3 linked regions of the Lytechinus pictus genome follow. The protein of the gene in region 1 purifies or fractionates together with the protein of each later gene. This does not show direct contact. Links are inferred from orthologs where the notes say so. Each region holds a gene or a part of one and is shown in the gene's direction. Other genes may lie near its edges. The genes, in order: dnaJ homolog subfamily A member 2-like, nuclear migration protein nudC-like and WD repeat-containing protein 76-like.

The links.
Region 2: the proteins of dnaJ homolog subfamily A member 2-like (region 1) and nuclear migration protein nudC-like purify together in Homo sapiens (affinity purification with mass spectrometry; 4 studies listed by BioGRID and IntAct, with this or other methods). This does not show direct contact. The link is inferred for Lytechinus pictus from reciprocal best matches to the Homo sapiens genes DNAJA2 and NUDC.
Region 3: the proteins of dnaJ homolog subfamily A member 2-like (region 1) and WD repeat-containing protein 76-like purify together in Homo sapiens (affinity purification with mass spectrometry; 3 studies listed by BioGRID and IntAct, with this or other methods). This does not show direct contact. The link is inferred for Lytechinus pictus from reciprocal best matches to the Homo sapiens genes DNAJA2 and WDR76.

Annotation. Positions count from the first base shown.
Region 1 is NC_087246.1:70,311,198-70,318,604, forward strand, and holds the start of dnaJ homolog subfamily A member 2-like, read left to right. Parts: upstream 1-4,332; coding exon 4,333-4,440; intron 4,441-7,407. UniProt on the Homo sapiens protein: Co-chaperone of Hsc70. Stimulates ATP hydrolysis and the folding of unfolded proteins mediated by HSPA1A/B (in vitro).
Region 2 is NC_087248.1:5,421,368-5,429,173, reverse strand, and holds the start of nuclear migration protein nudC-like, read left to right. Parts: upstream 1-4,776; 5' UTR 4,777-5,267; coding exon 5,268-5,342; intron 5,343-7,806. Other genes in the region: uncharacterized protein LOC135153861, read right to left, coding at 1-775, 2,581-2,673. UniProt on the Homo sapiens protein: Plays a role in neurogenesis and neuronal migration. Necessary for correct formation of mitotic spindles and chromosome separation during mitosis. Necessary for cytokinesis and cell proliferation.
Region 3 is NC_087250.1:12,391,649-12,399,646, forward strand, and holds the start of WD repeat-containing protein 76-like, read left to right. Parts: upstream 1-4,921; 5' UTR 4,922-5,074; coding exon 5,075-5,212; intron 5,213-7,208; coding exon 7,209-7,442; intron 7,443-7,998. UniProt on the Homo sapiens protein: Specifically binds 5-hydroxymethylcytosine (5hmC), suggesting that it acts as a specific reader of 5hmC.

The DNA of each region.
Region 1 (7,407 bases):
ATCATGATATGCTTTTCTATGCTAAAATGCATGTTCGTAGATAATGTCTAATTCGAAATGATGTCTTTGTATTAGATACGCGCCCTTCAGGGGCCAAAAATAGGAAGCATTGATAATAATAATAATAATGATTGTAAATTTATATTGCGCAATTTCTATTTGGTTATACTCAACTGCGCATTACAATGCATAACAGATAAGCAGAAAAACAATTATTAACAGGATACGCAAAATTTTAGGACTAAATTTAAGTTCGCTAAAGTAATCGATATGGAACAAAATGTAAGTCCTGGGGGGAAAATGTGCAAATTAAAAAAGTATTAGCTCACAAACGGCACATTTTGAAAGAGTAGCACTTTTTTTCCTTTGTGTAATTATTTGGGGGGTAAGTGCATGCCCCTTGTCTGCCCCGGGTTCAGCGCCCCAGCATAAACAAAATTTAAAAAAATGTAAATTTTGAACTAACAACGTGAACAAGAAAAAAATAATAGTAAAGAAATTTATCTGAAGTAAATAAGAGCATGTTCAAAAGGGCCTATAATTGATCAGATGTATCAGGAACATAATAATGTGTAGAACACATGCACTTGATCATGTTTTATCCTGTTTATAGATATTCAAATCTACGAATAAATGAATAATTATAAAGAAGCACAATGCAGAAGAAAAAGAGGTATTGTCATGCTTACGTCAGGACCGGGCGTCAGGATAATTGAAAAAAAAAATTCCAGGCATTTTTGGTGGTGGGGTGTAGCCGCCAGACACAACTTCTTCTTCTCATGTTGGTTTGAGTGGCGATTAGTCATATTTGGCTTAGTCTGCTGTGCAAACCCTTCACTCGAGTAAAGGGTCTGAATTGCAGCCTATGATCATGCATTGTGTACTGAAGGCCCCCTCGCCCACAGCAAGTTTTGTATGCCTAGTCTTCGCGTGGAGACACACTTATTTCAATCAGGGTCCCTGCCTGCAGACTATATTTGACTATTGTCTCCATTGTCTATAAAATCTCACTTCACACATATTGATATTAATACCAATATGATGTATACACAATAAAATATTTTTTCTTGTTTATCCTTCTTATATGAAAAAAGATAATTATACAAAAGTTTGTCATAACTCTTTTGTCTTAAATGGCATAAAAAAATCTTCACCAAAAACAAGCCGCTATCTTCAGCCCAGTTCCAACTAGTTGCGCTTGCCATGCCCTTTGAATAGTATCAAAGATGCAATCATACCCGTCAGAAAGGTACATATATTGTGCCGATTTTTCGGACATAAATGCCTAGGTCACCATACATACACACACACACAGTCATGTATATATACACACACACATATATGTATATTTTTTCATATTAAACTTATATATACAAGCATATATCCGTTCATACTTCTTATAAAGTATATAAACAATATATATATACTAGCACATCACTAATAACTACTCCTTACTAAAACGTTTCGTTCTTGAAACGAAACGTAAAAAATGCTTTCTGTGTCCCTGGGCCATCTTTTTTAATACTTTATTATTTGTCCTGGCTGTGATTCATTCAATTCTGCAAGAAGCATGATCGTTCAATCATATTTTGGACAATGTAAAATATAATGTCTGACAGTTTCTATACCTCAGGAAATCCATCACCATGATCACAAAACCTGTTTGATGGATCCCTAAATAATCTAATACCCCTTTCATACTGAGCTTTTCCCCGGTGAACTTCGCCGGCGAAGTTCGCCAGCGAAGGGGGAAGTGTCCAGTATGAAGGTACACAGGAAAACTTCCCCCGGCGAACTTCGCCGGTGAAACTGTTTCCCCGGCGAAGTTCTCCGGTGAAACAGCCAGTATAAAAGCTAACCAGAGAACTTCTCCTCTTTAATGACGTCAGATGTCTTTTTTTTTCTCCCCGAAATCCCCTGAACTGAGATTCCGCGCGCTAGCTATAGCTACATGTATTATTTCCGTGGCTAAAATGTAGAAGGCCACCCTTAAAGAGTAGTCTGCTGGGCAAACCCTTCACTCGAGTAAAGGGTCTGAATTGCAGCTTACTCATGCCTCCTGAAACAGCAAGTTTTGTATGTGCTAGTCTTTGCGTGGAGACACACTTGTTGATAAAAGTTTCAATCAGGGTCTGCCTGCAGACTACTTTATGAGCGATTCGATCATTCCATAGAGTTAAATACTCTCGAACATATATTTTTTTTCACTAACAATATTTAATTCAAAAGCGTTATTTTACATGCTGAAAATACGCTTGAAATATCAAAATACTTTGATTCTTTTTTGTTTTGCTTCTAATATTTCTCGAATATGTTGTAAATTTTTTAACACCTTTTTGTAATCGGTAAGAAGCAATATTTACAATTTTCTTTTCGTTCGTTCTAATTCTGCATGCATGCACGTGCCGAGTGAGATCGATCAGCAGCAGCAGCTGAGAAGTGTTTACCAGCTGTCATCTCCAAAACTTCACTGATATAAAGGACAGAGAACGATTAAAATTCAAATTTAAAAAAGCGCGCGCTTTCACTCCACCACTGAGAGATCAGTGGTCTGCACTTACTTCCGCCCGAGCAATTTTACCCGTCGACTTTCGCCGGGGAAGAGATGTAGAAAGGGTACATATTTTTCTTCAAGTTCGCCGGGGAAGTGAGGAATGCGTACTGGAAATGTTCGCCGGCGAAGTTCGCCGGGGAAAAATGAAGAGGCCAGTTTGAAAGGGTATATAGATCTTGGTTGAGACCAGTGACTCCAAAACGGAGACGGTGGAATATTCGTGTCTTTCTAAATTACGTTTATATGCGGAGCACTGATGCTTATAGTTCTTTCGATCAGTGCTGAGTTAGTTTTATTCCATCTCTCGCCAAACTATCTTACAACTTTTTGAAATAAGTTGCGTAATTTCTGATAATGTTATTTGATTATGAAATTCTATTTTGTTTGATAAAGCCTTTTTTGCGCAGGAGTCTGTTATTTTATTTCCTTTTATTCCACAGTGACCAGGGATCCAAACCTTTATATTTGAGTCTTGTAATAGTCAGAATCGTCCTTCCGATTCTGTAAAGATAAAAGTGCACTTAATGAATCACTGAAAATAACAACACCTGTATATATATATATATATATATATATATATAGATATATATATATATATATATATATTTTATCGATTCCAGTGCAAGAATAATCGCAATCGATTCCGAGAGGTGAAATTCGATAATCTTTTTCCTTGGTAAATAGAAAAATAAGGCGCATACCGTATTGTAGAAAGCGGCTGAACTATAATCCCCCTTTCTGGAACTTTGGATCCATCAGCTGTATATATGGAGTTGGTTGGACCATTTTGTAGATGTCAATTCCAAACTCAGTTGTTGTAATTGTATTGGATGATCTGATTTCTTGATTTGTGAACTTAATCATGTGATATGACTGGTGAGCAAAATAATTTATAAATCTACGTGTCTGACATCCTACACTAGCGTAATGCAAATCATAGCAATATATCTCCATGTACTATTTAGTCTCAATCTTCAGACCCTTAATATTTTGTTAGTGCTGAAACCTATAGCTGATGCACAAAAACTTATGAATGCAGATGCAGAAGGGGGCTAATGGCTGGTGGTTATGGTTGGGGTGGTGGAGGACAGTAGTGTACGCGCAGGGGGTGGTTACAGGCGGGGTTCAACCCCCCTTAATTTTTTTTCAAACCCACCCCCCCCCCCCAAGAATTCAACCCCTCCCCCAATAATTCTTTTTTTTTGCTTGTCAAATTTTTGTTGAGATACAAAACGGCGCAAAAATTGGTGGTGCATGAAGACTTTTTTCTTGTCAAGTTATTTGGGGGTAGGAAACGACCTAAAATTTGTAGTGAAGAGTGAAGACCTTTTTTTCAACATTTCATTCAGCTTGAACCTTGACCCCCCCCCCCCCCATTTAAAAATCCTGCCATCCGCGTATGCTACTGGTGGAGGGGGTGGTTAAGGCGGAAGGGGCAAGGGAGAATTAAAGGACACACGATGATCACTTGGCGCTGTGGCGTGCGCCTGTAATCCAAGCTGTGGGGAAGTTACAAATTGATGCAGAGGTTCGAGCCCTGGTCACGTCTTTCGGATGGTGACGTTAAAGGTCGGTCCCAGACGTAAAATAATCATATCTGATTGATACACGTCTGACAAAACTCAAATACACACACACACAATAGTATTTTTTTCTTTCCCTTTTGGCCTCCCATACTTCTGCAATGCATGCGCGCGTATGCATGATCGTTGGATTCTTCTAGTGCGTGCATGTGATTTCACTACATTACCGTATATTCAGCTTGTGACGCAACAAACATGGCGTTCTTTGGAATGGGACCGAGTTCGAGACCAAGTTCTAACGACACTAAGTTGTACGATCTTCTTGGAGTCTCTCCGAATGTCGAGAGTAATGAATTGAAAAAGGTTAGTTATAATTTTCTTACGGTAAACTATCATATTGGTTGGGCATTCATGCTAATTGTTGCGTTGCTATTTACCAGAATCACAGGTGATTGAATGAATGAATCAATGAAAGGGATAGGGGCACGCATGCGGTACCGGTACGGTACCGGTACCGGCATTGTCATTTGACGGTGTGTGTGCTGCATGCTGCTGCATGCCAAGCTATTGCTAGACCAAAAACTTCAGTCTTGGAATAGGTATTTAGTTGTTCAGCTGCGTTGGCTCCACTCACCAATACATAGAGTGATAGACTGAAGAGCTAAGTTAGAGGCCCGTACGTAAAAAACAACGTATACCGCCTTACCGGTCATGCCGGTAATAGCACTAAGTAAAGTCAGTAGAGGCGCTGGTCCAAAAATTGGGATTGTCCCAGAAAACAAGGATATCCTTATAAACCAAGACAAATTATGTCTTGATAAATTGAGACTGTCCTTGTTTATGGGGACGTTTTTTCTTCACTTCTCCCTACGGGACAAAGACAGCAATTAGGGGAATTGAGAGTGCTAAAAATAGATTCAGTGACCTCAATTCCCCCCAGTTCACCGTTTATTTATTATGACTTGCCGTCTTCCAATAATCTTGTTATGAAACCTGATATGTTTACATTGACTAGCACTCTTGATTGGTGTCGCCACTCAACAGGTGAATGAACTTTCCTAGATTTCTTGTGTGAAGAAATCCTTATAAACTGAGACAGTCCCTGTAAACTGGGACGATCCCAATTTTCTGACCAGCGCCTCTACTGAAAGTTAGTCTTACTGTAGGGTGGACAAATTGAAATCCTAAAATTTTTATTTGAACGTCTTCACATTTTTATTTACAATGACATGAAAGAGAAAACAAAATCAAAGCAAACATACCAACTCCCAGTTCCAAAGGTTTCCAAAAAGTGAAGATATTAAGTGTCAAACTATGGCCTTTGTGAGACCAGAAAGGGACAGAGATAACCGATTCAGCCCCCTAACTTCCCCGAAGCTAGTTGTCACGTAAAATGGTCGATGAATAGCTAGTTTCGAACGACCTCCTTAAATTAATATTCAATTTTAAATTTGCCGCTGCAGCCCGGCTCGTAGTCTGTGGTAGCTTGTGCACGAGACGTTATTACGAAACATGCATTCTAAAAAGTAAAAGTCTCTCCATAAATAGAAATTTACGAATTACTTTAAAAATAAACGATGATTCATATTTCATACCTATAAATGATGATCATTTGACATATTCGACTTCTAGATTATGTTTTTGGTGGAAGTTATTTCCATCTTTTCTTCTCCGTCAGAACTCCGAACGTAGTCACGGCCATGCCGTGCCCAGCGCACCCGGTACTGATGCACTGCGTATACGGTATGGGTATACCAGACCGGCCTTAGCTAGCTAGCTTCCCAATTTCTTTCCACACAGTCATGACATGCCGTTACCAATTTCAGGACATTATTTGTAGTAAATATAATTTTTTTCCCTTTTTTAAACGTATCAGCCATAATAAATAAATAAATTTCGTCTACTTTTATTTTTTTAATAATAATTATATTACTGATAAGCCTCATTACACCGCATTTTTATTTAATCAGCAACATGTCCTGAAACTTGCTTCCCACTGAGCTATTTATAGTACTTACCTAAAATTTCAAAACTTCACATGTGCCGATGGAACCTTCAAATCCAGGTCCTAGCCGATTGAGTTCATTAATAATTAAATCAAAGTTTTCAAAAAAAATAAAGAAATGAATGTCCCGAAACGAATCATGTAGATAATCAATGTGGAATCATGTGGAGTAGGTAATGATTAAACTGATGAAAAAAATTGAACTTGTGATCAGTGCTCCTCTTATTGGAAAATTATAACAAATCGAAGCAATGGGTGCTCTCTTATGCAAGTGATCCATGATGATAAATGCCGGACGAGCTGGGTCTTGTTTTCATCGTTAAAGTTTGAAAGTTCATTTATTAATTGGGGTGACTTGAACACATCGGTAAAAGTATCAGTAGAAACAAACATAATTTACCTCTATATCATAAACATCCATAACAATATAGCACTGTATCAAACATATCAATTATTTCAGTTTTATGCTTAGAATACTCTTTTATGTTTGAGTGGAATTTCCCCATTTACAAGTTCAAGTTACTCTGTGCCCTTTGGTTCATGTCATGAAACCCGTTCTTATTTTCATTTCATTCATCAAATCAAATACGGTACGGTGCAGTGCAACACGTGCAACAATGCCTGCTGTGGCGTATTGCAAAGATATCAATGTCTTTATGACATTGAAGGCCTATTCTTTGGTTTACAATATAAAATGCTGCAGTTTTTGTCTTCAGGAAGATTTGTACTTATTCTTTGACAACAACGAGGAAGCTGCCCAGGTGGAATGGTGGAGCTGGTCCAGATTCAACAGAGGAGATACGCCCACATTCGCATACCTCTAGGTAACAACACCCCCCCCCCCCCCCCAAAAAAAAAAAAAAAAAAAAAAAAATAGAAAATAAAATATAAAAAATGAGTCAAGCAGAGTAAAAGCAACAGTGGAAAATCTTTGATAAAGGCAAGTAGAAAAATTAAGAAAAACAGGCCTAAACAAATAACAATTATATCTATTTTTTTAGAGCTAAATTATAAAAATAACTTTTTAGTTTAAATAACAGTTTCATTGTATTATCAGCAATTTAATCCCAGATATTCCCCCCCCCCTATCTCTCTCACGCTCTCTCATCCTCTGAATTTTATTTCTTCAAATAGAATGTTGAAGCCCATCGATCAAGCTTTGAATTTCTGCGTCAATCAGGGGAATTCCCTGGGTCTCTTGACAGGCTTGGGGTCGAACATGTGCCATTTGATCTCTCGCATGCGGTCTTTCCATTCAAGTTGTGGAAAATTCCATTCATAAATAATTTAGACTAATATCCAGTCTTTTATTTTTTTCATTCGAT
Region 2 (7,806 bases), on another chromosome or scaffold:
CCATCGAAGGTCTCTCTGTCATGTCTGTTCGAGATGCATTTTCTCCGAAAACTTCAGGTCTGGATGATGAAGCGTTCGTTGAAACCATAGTGTAATTGTACTTTAGTGGAGTTGGAGTCGCCGATGCAACATCTTCTATATCGACTGTTCTGTTCCTGTCATCTGAAATACTTTGATTGGTCTCTGTCGTGTAATCTTGATGATAATACAGACGAGATAGTGATGTCTCTTCGGAGAGATGGTCGAGGACATTGTCGGCGTGGTCGGTGCTGTTCTGAGGTGGTTCTTGCCTTTCTTCATCCCCGTCTTGTTGATCATGGAAGTTATTTTGTTGGTTTCTATCTCGTAGAATGGCGAGGGCTTCCTGGAGAGTTAGATTTGAGTCTGTGAATGACGTTTGATTTGACGGAGGTTGTAATATCTCGGCTTCTTCGTTGTTGATCGACAGCGAATTTGTTGAATCGGCAGACGAGTTATCATCCTTTTCGACTTCATCAAGGACGCTAATGACAGGAGAAACTGTGTCGGGATGTGGTATGCCATCGTCCTCGTCCTCCCAGAACTTGGTTCCATTCACGTACTCATAGATAACAGTGGTAGCCACGTCAGTGCCCTCAACATTATCGTCATCATTGACGGTATGGTAGTCAATTGGCTGATTGGGATATGATTGGTTGGTCGGTGTGGTGATGTCAGGTTTGTTGTTCTTGTCGTTCAGGATCTGGGAAAGCTTGCTCAAGATGTCAAGCCAGGAAACAGGAATGTCTGCATCATCCTAAAAGTCAAACAAAATAAAAACGTTAATAAATACATACAATATTAGATATTAATCCACTTGATTTTTTTTTCTTTATCTTATCTTATCTTACTTCTTTATAATATTTTAGGTGGTGTAGTCATGTATAGGCCTTGTTGTTTGTTTTCCTCTGATGTGTTTTGTGATCACTCTGAAAGGCAACTATTATTTAGTTCCTTGAAGGTAAATATCACATGGAAAAGGTGAATTTATGCTCGAGTATTATTTTCGTCATACATCATATATCAACTTCAATAGATATTTGTTTGAATAAGACTGCCTATATGATTCGAGTTTGGTCTTTTACAGGCAATCCTTTCTCCATTGTTGAAGATATGTCATTAATTCAAAAGGACCCTCAATTGAATACAGGCATAAAAATGTTAGTACCACTTAAATAGACCTTCCGCCATACATTTTTTTTCAACATGTTTATTTGGAGGAGGTTGTATGGAAACAAATACATGAAAACAAACAAACGATCTAAGTTGTGATGGAAATAAGACCAGCGAAAATTGAAGTTTTCAATATTGCCATTTACCTCTAATTAAGTCACATCTGTTTACACATTTCTCTGTGATTGTGTAAGAGTGAGTCATTAACGGGCTTAAAGACCGAATCATTAATATTTGAACAAAAATCATATTCATTTAACTCCCCCCCCCCCCAAAAAAAAAAGAACTACAGGAAAATAAAAGGGCAAAAGAGCAACATAAAAGGGGGGTCATATGGTAATTTCAGAAATAAGTACAAGTATATTGTTCGTATTTTTTCAATGAATATATCGCAATAAGATTCGAATCAGTCTATTCCTGATGGGCTTCAATCAGAAGTACATCAGTATTGTATGATTTGTGGGAAAGAACGCAAAAGTGTTGAAGACAGCTGTTCTTAAATATTGATTTGGGCTAATTGCATATACCGACATGATTGGTAAACAAAATAGAATTTGAATAGTTCACCTTCTCCCACTCTCCCCCCCCCCCCCCCCCCTCTCTCTCTCTCTCCCCTCTCTCCCTCTCTTTCTCCTTTTCTCATCTGTCTATTTCATATTTTGTGTTGTTTGCCTGGCAGGGTGTTAACACGGGCTAATATGAGAGCAATGACAAATATAATGTATTCTGTGCAAATTACAGCAGCTTTACATTTTACATGCGACGAATTTTTTTTTTCCATGAATCAAATATGGGGGTTAATGATGTAAAATAACAAAAACATATATGCCTAACCTAAGTATGTTGCATATTTAGTGTAATTAAATTCAATTTGCATAAATTGCCATGGAAGTATTAATAACATAATATAAATGTAGTTATTATAGATATAATTTCGTCTTTACCTTCAAATAAACAAACACAATTCACCAGGGGCGGATCCAGGATTTTCCAAAAAGGGGGAGGGAACATTTTTCTCTACGAAAATTTGACAAGCCTTCCCCCCCCCCAAAAAAAAAAAAAAAAAATGATAATAATAATAATAACAATTAAAAAAATTAAAAAAAATACAAAAAAATTAAGGTCATTTTGTCCCACGTGAAATTTGACAAGCAAAAAAGGTCATCACTTGTGTATGAACGACCCAGTATTCCCCTGAAAAATATTTGCTGTGACTCTCAAGGGGGGGCGGGCCGGATGTGCCCCCCCCCCCCCCCCGGTTTCGCCACTTACAATTCACATATAATAGTTATTGTGTCGGTACAATATATGTCTGTATATAAGTAGATTTGAGGATAATTGTTTATGATAAACAAACTCAATATACAATATTACTTCAAGTTCAATTACCTTAGCTTCGCCTGGGATGTCCTCAATATCACCTTGACATAAAACGGTTGTAGTGATACAGAATAATATCAATCCAAAGAGTGATAGTTTCATTTTTATATTCGCCTTGAGACTCGCTCAATCCAAAGTGATGAAATATAAATGCTTGTGTGTTCTTGTGTAATCGCTGCAGTTTCAGGACTGATGTCACAATTCACTCTTCCGTTCCACAGACGAATTGTCAGATGAGGAAGACCAGTTTCGACGGAAAGAGATCAAAATTAACTATTACGTCGCTTTTGACGATTAAGGTATCCCGTCAGCGCAGAGAGAAACATAGCTCCAATCAAAGAACATGTTAATATAATGGCAATGGTTATTGTTGCTGACATGTTATTTACAAGTTGTAACAATCTGTCAGTTTTATACGATCATGTACTAATGAAGCGAATACCGAGCATTTGATGTAGTAAACTATATACCTTCACCGTGATAAGTGTGTTTGCATGGCCGCACCTGTGCTAGGTAAATCATGAACTTAATTATCAAAGTTCACCCTCACTCGCATATTGCTTGAGGTTTTGGGCGTGTTGCCCCTAGAAAATTATTCAGGATAAAATGTATTCTCGTTTGAATGGACCTGATAGACATTTTATAGTCAAGTTATGTTTATAAACTAATGTTGTATATACTAGGTCTATACACTGACACAGTATTTTTTTTTATTCTCAGCATTTGTGTTTCTTTTCAATTACTTTTTTTGGGAGAAGAGATGAGGATTCATACTTTCACCCTCCTTGAATATCTTCATTACCACCCCCCCCCCAAAAAAAAAATTGTCTTCATATTCATAGTCATACGTCTTCATTGGTCTATCTTCTGCAAATATATGTTTTTCATCAATAAATGTAGACATTAAGGCCCAATGCTTACAGTATTTCATTATTTTTACTCTCGATATTTTTTTTTGTAAACAAAACACAATTCCACCCCCCCCCCAAAAAAAAAATGCCTCTGTATTTTCTGTAAATATGTGTGAAAATTGAAGCTTTTTGTGTTGAATTATCCTGTGAGACCAAAGTTTGAGCTTCACCTGTTGCATCGCGCGCCGGATCGCGCGATTAAAAAAAATCGAACGTTGTTCAAAACGAATATAGCTTCGGTTAATGATTCAGTGAGTTCCCAACTCAGTCAAAGAATATGATCGAATATACGATAGGCTATAGGGCCTATATATTGATAGTTTAGAGAACAACACATTTGAACAATGTAGTTGACATAAATAATGTAAATTAATATCTAGTTATAACAAGGCCGAAATGTTTGGATGAATGTTTTTTTTTCTTTCTTATGGATATACCGTTCATCGGAATCATCCTCCCTTCTTCTTTATTCATGTATAATTATCCCCTCTTATTTGTCTTGTCTACAAGTTCAATTTTCTATAATGTTTAATTTAAAGGTAAATTCCAGTTCTGGTAATAACGATCTCAAAATGACTTTTTACAGAATCTAATATAATGACCACCCAAGTGTCTGTTTGTATATGAATAAAAAATATGTGCCAAAGGATTCTGGGAGAAATTGTGTAATTGCTGAGAAATAAGCAAAATAAGCGCGGATTCGGTCACTTCCGTCGGGTCTTTATTCCAGCAATAATAATACACTGTCCCACATGTGCCTATCTGTGTTGGCGATCTTCAGTGTGATCGTATTTCAGCTTAGATTTCATGATTTCACAAAGTTCAGTTTATGTAACTGTACCAGATCTAGATCCACGATGATATAGTCATACTTAACTTTGGTTTTACAGACTTTCTCACGAAATTAGTGTTTTACTACTGCAACTACGTTCATTTAGCTTTAATGTCAATGTTTGCAATATTATGTTACTGGAGGAAAGGATATATCGTAGACTAAAAAAAATTGTAATTGAATAGAATAGAATAATCATCCTCACCATATGATCATCATCGCGGTCGTCGTCGTCGTCATCATCATGATCATCATGATCACCATCATCACCATCATCATCATCATATTGTCGTCATCATCATTCAATGATCATCACCATCATTAGTATAATCATGGACCTATCAGAAGAATAGAAATGAATAGAGGCCGTCATTCAGCAACTCACACATTTTCCTTGAAACATGGGGTATGAACTACCCCCCCCCCCCCGGCCCCCCATAAAAAAGGGCGCGAGTGAGGATCATACTTCCCATGGCATACTTCGGTGTGTGCATGTGCCTTCTTCCTTCCGCTCTATATAGCTCTCGATCGATCTATTTACTTCCTTACCCCCATCTAACCCCGGCATCTAACCCTTCTCCTTCCTTCAGAAATAGATGGATAAATAAACAAATAGATAGACAGATAGATAGATAGATAAATAAATAAATGAATAGATTTTAACAATTAAAAAAAAAAATAGAGTCTAAATCATTCAAAAAGTCATTGGAAATCAAGACAATTCATATTTGAAACATTAAAGCCCCTAGCCACCCACCCATGTCAGCCCGGCCCCCTCCTCCCCCTCCACCACCACCACCACCACCATCAAGGCCCAGTAGTTTGCTCATGTTTCTAGAATTTTCTGACTCCGCCCTGCATATATTGCATATATTACCCATATATATGCTAGAAAACGAAGACTACCAGTACCGAAATTTATTCATTCATTTTGGTGAACCACATGTGGAAAAATGGCTGAGGATGACGATAGATTTGACGGTATGCTGATGGCAATGGCCCAGCAACAAGAACAAGGAATTCATCAGGTACGTAACTGGCATAATTTCATTCATGATAAGTTTTGATTTGTGTGATTATACTGCATTTAATTTGCTATGCAAGTCCGCAAGTATCAGTTCATCTTGGTCCGGTCCCACGCGTTCATTTTTGCGTTTCTTCGCTTCTTTTAGTTTATCTCGGTCCCACACAACCGCTATCGTGTTTCTTATTCGATTGAAACCATTTATGGCAGTGAGTCCAAACTTCGCGCGTGTCCATACTTCGCGGACGGTCATTATCTCAAAAACTAGCCAATATCCTTAAAATCTGACATCGTCAACGTGAAAAGCGACCTAAAATTACCCTTTAATAAAAATTTCTTTAGGATGAGTTCAGTATTCATGAAAATATTGGCAAAAGATCGGCAAATTTGCCACCGCTTGCGCCCGTTTTGAAGAAATCAACAAGCATCACGATATCACCATTTTGCAAGCAGAAATCATCAAAAATGTGAGTTGAATGTGGTACTAACCAATTCCATAGCATTTTGCCATCAATCTGATATAAAAATATTTCACTTTTTGAGCTTGAGTTTTTGTTTGAATCTCCACAAAAACTTTGGTGCGCGAAGTTAAGTCACATTTTTTCTGAACGGTTTCCAGCACAGCCCGCATTCACCGATCGGAATAGAATTTTGAGATCGCGATACCGGCGAAACCCCTTGACCTACTTTACATTTTCGTCCATGATTTTATAGATTACGATCTTGCCGTCAATGTGGTAACTATTTCTTGAATTGGTTTTGTATAAATTATGAATATTTTGTGAACAAAATTAAGCCTGATGAATATTTTTGAAAAGTGCGCGAAGTTTGGACACCCCATCATACTGTCAGTAGAGGCGCACGGCCAATATGGGAGACTCTTACCAATAGGGGAGACAATCTCCCACATTGGAGACTTGCTTTGCAAAAGGACAAAAGAAACAACACCAACAAAAGCATGATTTTTCCCACCCAAAATTTTGTCTCACTGAGGTCAGAAGCCCATTTGTTTTGTGTGTGATTGACAACAAAAATCCTTATCAAAACAAAAGTAGACGGTGAATTTTTAAAGTAGACGGTGAAAAGGGGTAATTTTTTATGAGGAATCTCCTTATCACATTTTTATTTGCCGCCAAGGTAATCCTTTTGCAGCAAATGTAAACAAAGGAAATTGGTCTCCAAAACTGGAGACTCTCTGAAATTGGATACCCAAATTCTTTACAAAAGTCTCTGATATTGGAGATAATCTCCCACATTGGAGACAGTCTCGGCGCTAGTGTAGTTTCGCACCTCCCCGTTTAATGGTTTTCAAACATGTACAATCTCACCCTAAATAATTCACAACCTAAAATACTTGCATCTGAGCCTCCAAAGTCCAGTAGAAGTTGAATATTTGCCGTTTTGACACTTTTTTACAAAGTTTTACACCTATTTCGGAATCACTCGGTCGCTTCATCAAGCTCAGCGCTGCACATAAGCAGTCGGTACGCGTACAGTACGTACCATCTAGTGAAGTGCAAGAAGAGCGAGAAATTAATACACATAGATTTAGCGATGAAATAAGAAATAATAATGTAGAGCCTTGTTTTGAACTCTAGGTCAGAGAACTTTCCTTCAGTTTACAATTGTATGCTATGTTGATTGTATGCTATGTTGATTTCATGCTAGTAGATTACATTTTTCAATTTTTCACACGCCGTACCATCAAAACAAGGCTCTACATTATTATTTCTTATTTCATCGCTAAATCTACGTGTATTCACATTTTTCACATTTCTTATTTCATTCAAACAAGCACACACACGCACACCCCACACACACCTTCATACAACAAACATCAACCACTCTGCACAACCACTACCGTAATACTTGATGCAAGCTGAAAGAGGGGAAAAAAATCTTTTTGAAGATACCATAGAAAAACTCACTCTTCTTGCACTTCACTAGGTGGTACGTACTGTACGCGTACCGACTGCTTATGTGCAGCGCTGAGCTTCAAGCGACCGAGTGATTCCGAAATAGGTGTAAAACTTTGTAAAAAAAAAGTGTAAAAACGGCAAATATTCAACTTCTACTGGACTTTGGAGGCTCAGATGCAAGTATTTTAGGTTGTGAATTATTTAGGGTGAGATTTTACATGTTTGAAAACCATTAAACGGGGAGGTGCGAAACTACACTAGCGCCACAGTCTCCAATATTGGCCGTGCGCCTCTACTGACTGTAGGGAGTGTAGGGTCATCTTATCAAACATACGTAAATTTCTAGAAAAAAATCCTTCTATTTCATTTTTTATACTAATAGAAATTTATATTCAGTCTGGCTGAAGTTGGTTTTTAATAAAATCAGTCAAAAATCAGCAAAATGTTGGGTAGGAATTTCTAGGATATAAAAATATGACATGATCATGATGATTTATGAAAGTAATGAAACCGAAAGGATAGATTTGTCATTTTTAATTTAAAAAGTTT
Region 3 (7,998 bases), on another chromosome or scaffold:
TTGTCAGTGGACCATTTTGTTTTGTTTACTCTGATGGTGAGTCAATTTTTTTCTGCTCATAATAGCAAGTCAATTTTTTGAAAAACTTCCAGCCCCTCCCCCACCTGGATATATAATGGTGCGTCCCTAAAGGGGTACTCCAGGCTGAAAATAATATATAACAGACACGTAAGACCAGAAAAACAAAACACTGCAAACTTGATCAAATCGGGCACAGAATATGCCTTTGTGAAGTTACAACACTATATAAAGGATAAGTCCACCCCAACAAATTGCTGATTTGAATAAAAAGAGAAATATCCAACAAGCATAACACTAAAAATTTCATCAAAATCGGATGTAAAATAAGAAAGTTATTACATTTTAAAGTTTCGCTCAATTTCACAAAACAGTTTATATGCACATCCTGTTTGGTATGCAAATGAGGAGACTGATGACGTTATCCACTCACTATTTCTTTTGTATTTTATTATAGGAAATATTAAATATTTAATTTTCTCCTCATTGTTAAGGGAAACATCGATTAATTTCTCCCTGAACATGTGGAATTAGCATTGTTTAATACTATATGGTTCAGTCAAGTTGGTCCTTATTGTCAAATGTGTAAAAAATGAAATATTGTATAATTCAAACAATAAAAAACAAAAGAAATAGTGAGTGATGGACATCATCAACTGATTCGTTTGAGTTGTACATATCACTGTTTTGTGAAAATAAGCGAAACTTCAAAATGCCATAACTTTTTTTATTTTACATCCGATTTTAATGAAATTTTCAGTGTTATGTTTGTTTAAATTTTCCTTATGGGGGAGCAAGAGCAAAACAATTGCAAAACAATTGGTATGAACAGGCAATGACGTCACAAAGCAACAAATTTGAGAGGGCGATCTGGTGTATCGGGCAAAATAAAAATTTAAAAAGATGCGAGCGAGTTAAAAAAAAATATGATATTTTCATTTTAAAATTCCAATTTTGTGATAGATTTTGACATAATGTTTAAAGCATAATATCATATTTTACTAATCTCTCTCTCCCTTTCTCTTTTTTTTCTTGGTCTGTACGCCACGCTGAACAGGATTTTTTTTATGATTGTGCATGCGCGAGCATCAGGGCGAAGCTCTATACTCGAAGGGGGCCAGTATGGCGCGTGTGGCAAGAGGTAGCTCCCGAGTAAGCGAAGCGAGCGAGATAAAATAAATCACCTTTTCGTGAGAATATAACTTTAAGATAGATTTTTACGTGATATTCAGAAAAATATAATAGGGCCTACACTTTTTCTTTGCTTTGCTTTCTTTCCTCCTTTCTTTTTTGTTTGGTTGAAGAACTTTTTTGGGCCATGGTTCAAATTTTTCCATACAACAGTGCTATGTGGGTGGGGTCCGGGGCGGAGCCCCCGGAACCTCATGATACTATAAAGTCATTTTAAACCTTACCGATGGCCACTATTTTAAAAATCAAATTGCGTCTATATTATATAGCTTTCACAGTGACACAACACATAAATTAATTGCAGTTGCGTAATATTTTATCCAAATATTTTGAGGGGGCACACCATACTAAATGGGAGAAAATTTGTAAAAAGTTCCCAGCGAGCGAAGCGAGCCAGAATGAAAAATGGACCTTTGAAATGAAATTCTAATTATGTGATAGATTTTTACATGATAGCAAACAACATGTCATATATTGTTTCCATTCATCTAATTTCGCTGCCTCGTTGATTTTCGTTAATTTCCCCTTGGCTGTGGAACCACCCCCCCCCCCGTACGCCAGTGCTTCAACGCAAAGCTTATAATGCAGGAAGGGTCCATACAGGGGCCCGTTATATAGAGCCCTTTAAGGACGTTCCACAGAACATATTTGTGCGCATTATGATCTGCGCATAGTTTACACTCTGCGCGCTGACGTCACAATGGATGAACAGGTGATAGCTGCGGGTATGAGCTGATTTTTCTCATCTTCTGCACTTTAACTGCAGATCCGATGCGTTATTTCATGAAGCTAAAAAATTGAATTATTCCATGGACCATTCAAAAATATATTCTCTACAATTTCAAAATACTTTACTCTGCAGTGCTGCCAAGAATCACGAATATTACCCCGAGTTTGAATAAATGGTAGAGTGGTTTTGATTTTTTCTTCACATAGATACTAAGCATTTGGCCCATTTTTTGTGTTTTAGAAAGCACATTTGCTCTAATAAAAATGCTGATAGTTTAAAAACAAGCACATGAACCCCTATTTTTTAATGTTTGCACCTCTTAGGTATACCTTCCTCTACAACTCTGCAAATTTTGGTGAAAATGACATGGATTTTGAATAAAGTGCAGCATTTATCGTACGTTTGTAGTTTGTTACTGAAATTTTACATTTTTTAGATTGGGATTTTGTTATCTTTTACGCCATTTTTAAGAACTGACAGTGCTGTTAAACTTAAAATTGCAAACAAATAGCACTATTAATAGATTCTCCATTCTAACGATACAATTATCAACTCTCTTGCGAAATTTGATGACTTTTTCATGTATTTTGACTGAGTAATAGAGGTTTAAACTCATTGTAGTAATCTTGGGCGGTCTAAAAATGCCAAATTCTTTTGAATGCGCAATTCTTAAGAACATCAATTTGGGTGAACTTTGAAGCTCTATAGCAAAAAATCAAGCACATGGACCTATGTTAATTTTTGCATATTTCGAATATTAAGGTTCTAAAGTATCTATGTGCAAAGTTTGGTGAAAATGACATGGATTTCACTTTAACTGTGGAACGTCCTTAAATGTTACAGATGAAGAGCCCCTACTGCACGGGGTCTTGGGCAGAGCCCCCGGTAGCTTTGGAGATTTAGCAAGCTTATATAGAATTTCGTACATTATGCTATTATGCCATCCATCTTTTAGATGTATTGCTGTACACATGCATGACCAAATTATTTGGTACCCCCTAAACGAGTTTTTCTCTGTGTGCAAAATAATCCCCTTATCAATTTTTTTCGCGCGCTTCAGTCATATTGGCCCCTAAACAAGTTTTGTCTCGGGCCCGAACACTTTTCAGAAACGAGGAGGAGAAAGCACCTTTTATTTGAAAATCGGTGTTTTTGATACCCTTGAAAGGCCACCGCACACCTTACGACTGGTCTGCGACCCGATTTCAGAATAAAATGTAATAGAATTTGATGCTAGTATTGAGACTTGGAATATCTTACTGTGTAATGTTCGAAATCATCGTATACCTATGATCAAATTTGTGACTATGCTATCATCCTTCTTAGAATAAAAGCGAATTTAATATATAGTCGTTATGACGTCATAGGAGTCTTACGATTGGGTACGATTTGAAACTAATTTGGACTTTACTCCAAAATAAGGGCATGCAATCTTTCAAAATTGTTATAATATTATTATTTCAATTAATTTTAACCTCAAATAAAATGATATGTTCCATTCACATCTTCAGAAAATGAGCAAAATGCGATTTGTTCCAAAATCGGGTCGCGGACCAGTCGTAAGGTGTGCGGTCGCCTTAACGAGTGCACTCGCGGCCCGCGTCCAAAACTGAAAAAAAAAACCAACACCCCTTTAATAGCGTTTTTTGGTCATTTTTTACAGCAATATTTTTGACTGCCCCGGGGTTTTCCCTTTTTATGTGTTTCTTATAGTTTTCTGTTCCCTTTCATTTCCCTTTCCTCCCCCCCGGCCCCCCCCCTTTCCTCCTTTTCTTCCTTTTCTTTCCCTTTCCATTTCTTTCTTTCTTTTTTTCTTTCTTTCTTTCTTTCCTTCCTTCCTGTCTTCTTCCTTTCTTTTTTCCTTCCTTCGGCATTCCTTTCTTTCGTTCTTTCTTTTTTCCTTCCTTCGACATTCCTTTCTTTCGTTCTTTCTTTTTTCCTTCCTTCCTTCCTTCCCAAGTTCCTCCTTCCTTTCTTTCTTTCTTTCTTTTGTTCTCTCTCCCTTTTTTCTTTTTATTATAATTTTCCCGGTGAAATCCGCCAGGGGGGCGGGGGAGCTTGCCCCATTCTGCCCCCCGCCTGTTACGCCACTGCCTATAGCCTACTATGGGGGTACTATGATCTTACTGAGATCATAATCTTTTTCACTGCATGCACCGAAATAATGCTCACTTTAAAATGTCACAACCTTGTTATCCTTTTAGTATTTTGATAATTTTTTAATTGTTTTGTAGGTCTGATTTTACTTAAAGGACAATTATAAGTCCACCCAAGCAAAAAATTGATAAAATTAAAAGAGAAAAATCCAACGAGCATAACACTGAAAAATTCATCAAAATCGGGAATAAGAAAGTTTTGACATTTAAGTTTTGCTTAATTTCATATAACAGTTATATTCACATCCTGGTCGGTACGCAAATGAGGGGACTGATATGACATCACTCACCTATTATTTATTTTGTATTTTATTATTCATAATAATATGAAATATTCCAGTTTTCTTCCCGTTGTAGCCTACTATATAGTTTTATTCCTCCTTGAACATGTAGAATTACCATTGTTTTAACATTTTATGGTTCAGTCAAGTTGGGCCTTGTTTTAAGATCTGTAAAAATTGAAATATTATATAATTCAAACAATGAAAAACAAAAGAAATAGTGAGGGACATCATCGACTCATTATTTTGCTCGTCACTGAGTTGTACTGCATACATGGCATAGGGCCTAACTGTGATAAATAAGCGAAACTTTAAATTGTCGTAACTTTCTTATTTTACATCCGCTTGTGATAAAATTATTAGCGTTATGCTTGTTTGATTTTTCTCTTTTGATTGCAATCAACATTTTCTGGGGTGGACTTGACCTTTAAGACCTTTAATCTGTTCAAATCAATATTTTTATGCAGCACTACGTATTCGTCTTCTGAAACACCCCTTCCCTCCCCGGGGACGAGGTTGCAGCAAGCCGATGTTTCGTAATCAAAGCGCGCGCAATTTATGTAAACATGACTTTTCACGTGCATAAACACGACATACCGTATATACTGTGCATGTGCTGTGTGACATCAATTGATAAATTCGTGGATCTGTCTGTGACTGTGTACATGCTCTCGACTGTTCATCAGAACCTGCTATAAATGATCGCAACTAAAACATTTTATAAATCAGCTAATATGGCCCCTGTAACTCGCACTCGAAATCCAAGACCAAAGCGAGAAGGAGGTTCTGAACTTGAAGCAGCCGAATCAACATTGGCTTCGAAGAGAGCAAAGCGGGTAAGTCATGCAGGCTCTTGTTGATTTCATCGATGGTCGCCGCCGAGGGATGCCGGGATCTCGCCGGACTTTGACTTGTAATGAACCGAACCGTAGCCTGGCCAGAGACGAAGCTGTCACTGTCACTGTATTCAGCTTCATATTTTAGTGTGTTAGTTAATTCTTACATCTAATTCTAGAATTATGATATTAAATTCAAATGTATAAAATGATATTAGGAACCTGTCAGCTGTCTTATTTGTTTTAATAATTTAATTTCTTTAATAAAAATAAATAGATTGACATAGGCCTAGTTAGGCACTTAGTTAGCAGTAGAGGCGCACGGCCAATATTGGAGACTGTCTCCAATGTGGGAGATTATCTCCAATATCAGAGACTTTTGTAAAGAATTTGGGTATCCAATTTCAGAGACAGTCTCCAGTTTTGGAGACCAATTTCCTTTGTTTACATTTGCTGCAAAAGGATTACCTTGGCGGCAAATAAAAATGTGATAAGGAGATTCCTCATGAAAAATTACCCCTTTTCACCGTCTACTTTAAACATTCACCGTCTACTTTTGTTTTGATAAGGATTTTTGTTGTCAATCACACACAAAACAAATGGACTTCTGACCTCAGTGAGACAAACTTTTGGGTGGAAAAAATAATGCTTTTGTTGGTGTTTCTTTTGTCCTTTTGCAAAGCAAGTCTCCAATGTGGGAGATTGCCTCCCCTATTGGAGAGAGTCTCCTATATTAGCCGTGCGCCTCTACTGGTTAGGGTCTAACTTGTTAGGCCTATATAAGTTACTAAAACTCTAACCCTAACGTCTGACATTTGGGCGAGGCAGTATAAGTTTCAGGGAAATTTAATCTAAGTTAATTAAAGTTGAATGTTACTTTATGTTAGCTGGCTTTGTTTGATTTTAAAATTTTTATTGGGTCAGCCTTAAAAAAAGGTAGGCCTAGTATTTTGAATGCAAAGTCAGTACTATTAATTACAAACAATAACTTATTAATCTAAGTTAATTAAAGTTGAATGTTACTTATGTTAGCTGGCTTTGTTTGATTTTAAAAATTTTATTGGGTCAGCCTTAAAAAAGGTAGTCTTTGGAATACAAATTAAGTTAGTATTAATTACAAACAATAACTTATTAAGACAGAGAAATGAAGAAGAGGAAGTCTGGAAAACAGAAAATATAACGATGGCATGCAGCCTGCAGGACTTCCTCGATGTAGCCTTCGAGTGCTTAAAGGTCAAGTCCACCTCAGAAAAATGTTGATTTTAATCAATAGAGAAAAATCAGACAAGCATAATGCTGAAAATTTCATCAAAATCGGATGTAAAATAAGAAAGTCATGATATTTTAAAGTTTCGCTTATTTTTCACAAAATAGCTATATATGCACAATTTAGTCACATGCAAATGAGATAATCGATGATGTCCCTCACTCTCTATTTCTTTTGTTTTTTATTGTTTGAATCATACAATATTTCAATTTTTACAGATTTGACAATAAAGACCAACTTGACTGAAAAAAAAAAAGTTAAACAATGGTAATTCCACATGTTCAGTGCGAAATAAAACTTTGTTTCACAGGACAATGAGGAAAAAATTAGAATATATCATATTTCATATAATAAAATACAAAAGAAATAGTGAGTGTGTGATGTCATCAGTTCCCTCATTTGCATACCGACCAGGATGTGAATATAACTATTTTGTGAAATTAAGCGAAACTTAAAATTGTCATAACTTTCTTATTTTCCATCCGATTTAAATGAAATTTTCAGTATTCTGCTTGTTGGATTTTTCTCTTTTTATTCAAATCCACTTATGGTTGGGGTGGACTTGTCCTTTAATTAATAAAATAACCTTGGCCAAAAAAAAGTGCCAGAATATCCCCATTCATTACTATGTTGAAGCTTTTCTAATACTGCAGATTTATCAATTAGGTTGTGAAAATTGGTCCACCGAACCTATTTTTTTCATCTTTCTATTTTTTTTTTTTTTTTCAGACTTCTGTTAGTTTGAAAGCAGAGATGCCAGATGCCGACTTGTCGCCCGCCGTCAGACGCTCACCAAGAGTTATGAAAAAGGACGCAAAGGTGTCGCTGACCAGGACAAACATCTTGAAGGAAAATGTTCAGAGAGGGAAGGAAAAGGTGAAAAAGGAAATCAAAGAGGAGGAGGATGAAGAAGAGGAGAATGCGGATATCAGACCTCTAAAAGAAGAATCAGATGTAGAAATGGTAATAATGATATTTCATTTACTTAGGGTAGCCACTATAGTTGGGAATGATAATAATAACTCTTATTTACCCAGTATTACCACTATTACCATTTCAGCTGCAAGCCGTTTTTACCGCTGGTAGAGAAGAGAAACTCTACCGTACCATGACATAAGATGTTATTACTATCCTTCTCTAATCTTAAGTGCTGAGCACCTAGCGAAGGTGAAGGTCCCATTTTTATACATGTTAGTCTTTGTCAGGGGCGGATCCAGGATTTTCCAAAAGGGGGCGGGCTACATGTAAGTTCGAATTCGGAGTCCAAAGGTCACAGCTCATATATGCGAGTTGGTTCAAAGGTCTAAATTCATTGTTTTGGTTTCTGCACGATATTAAGTTCAATCATATCGAATGAATTTCTGATCGCGTTAAGCGGGGGCATCTGTGTCCTTTGGACATGTCAAATTTCTAGTTTTTTCAGTGTTTTGTTCTGTTGCATCATTATTAGTTTTTGTCTTCTATCTATCTCTGTAGGGAAGTCACTGTAGAAATAGAATTATCATTATTTAATTAGATA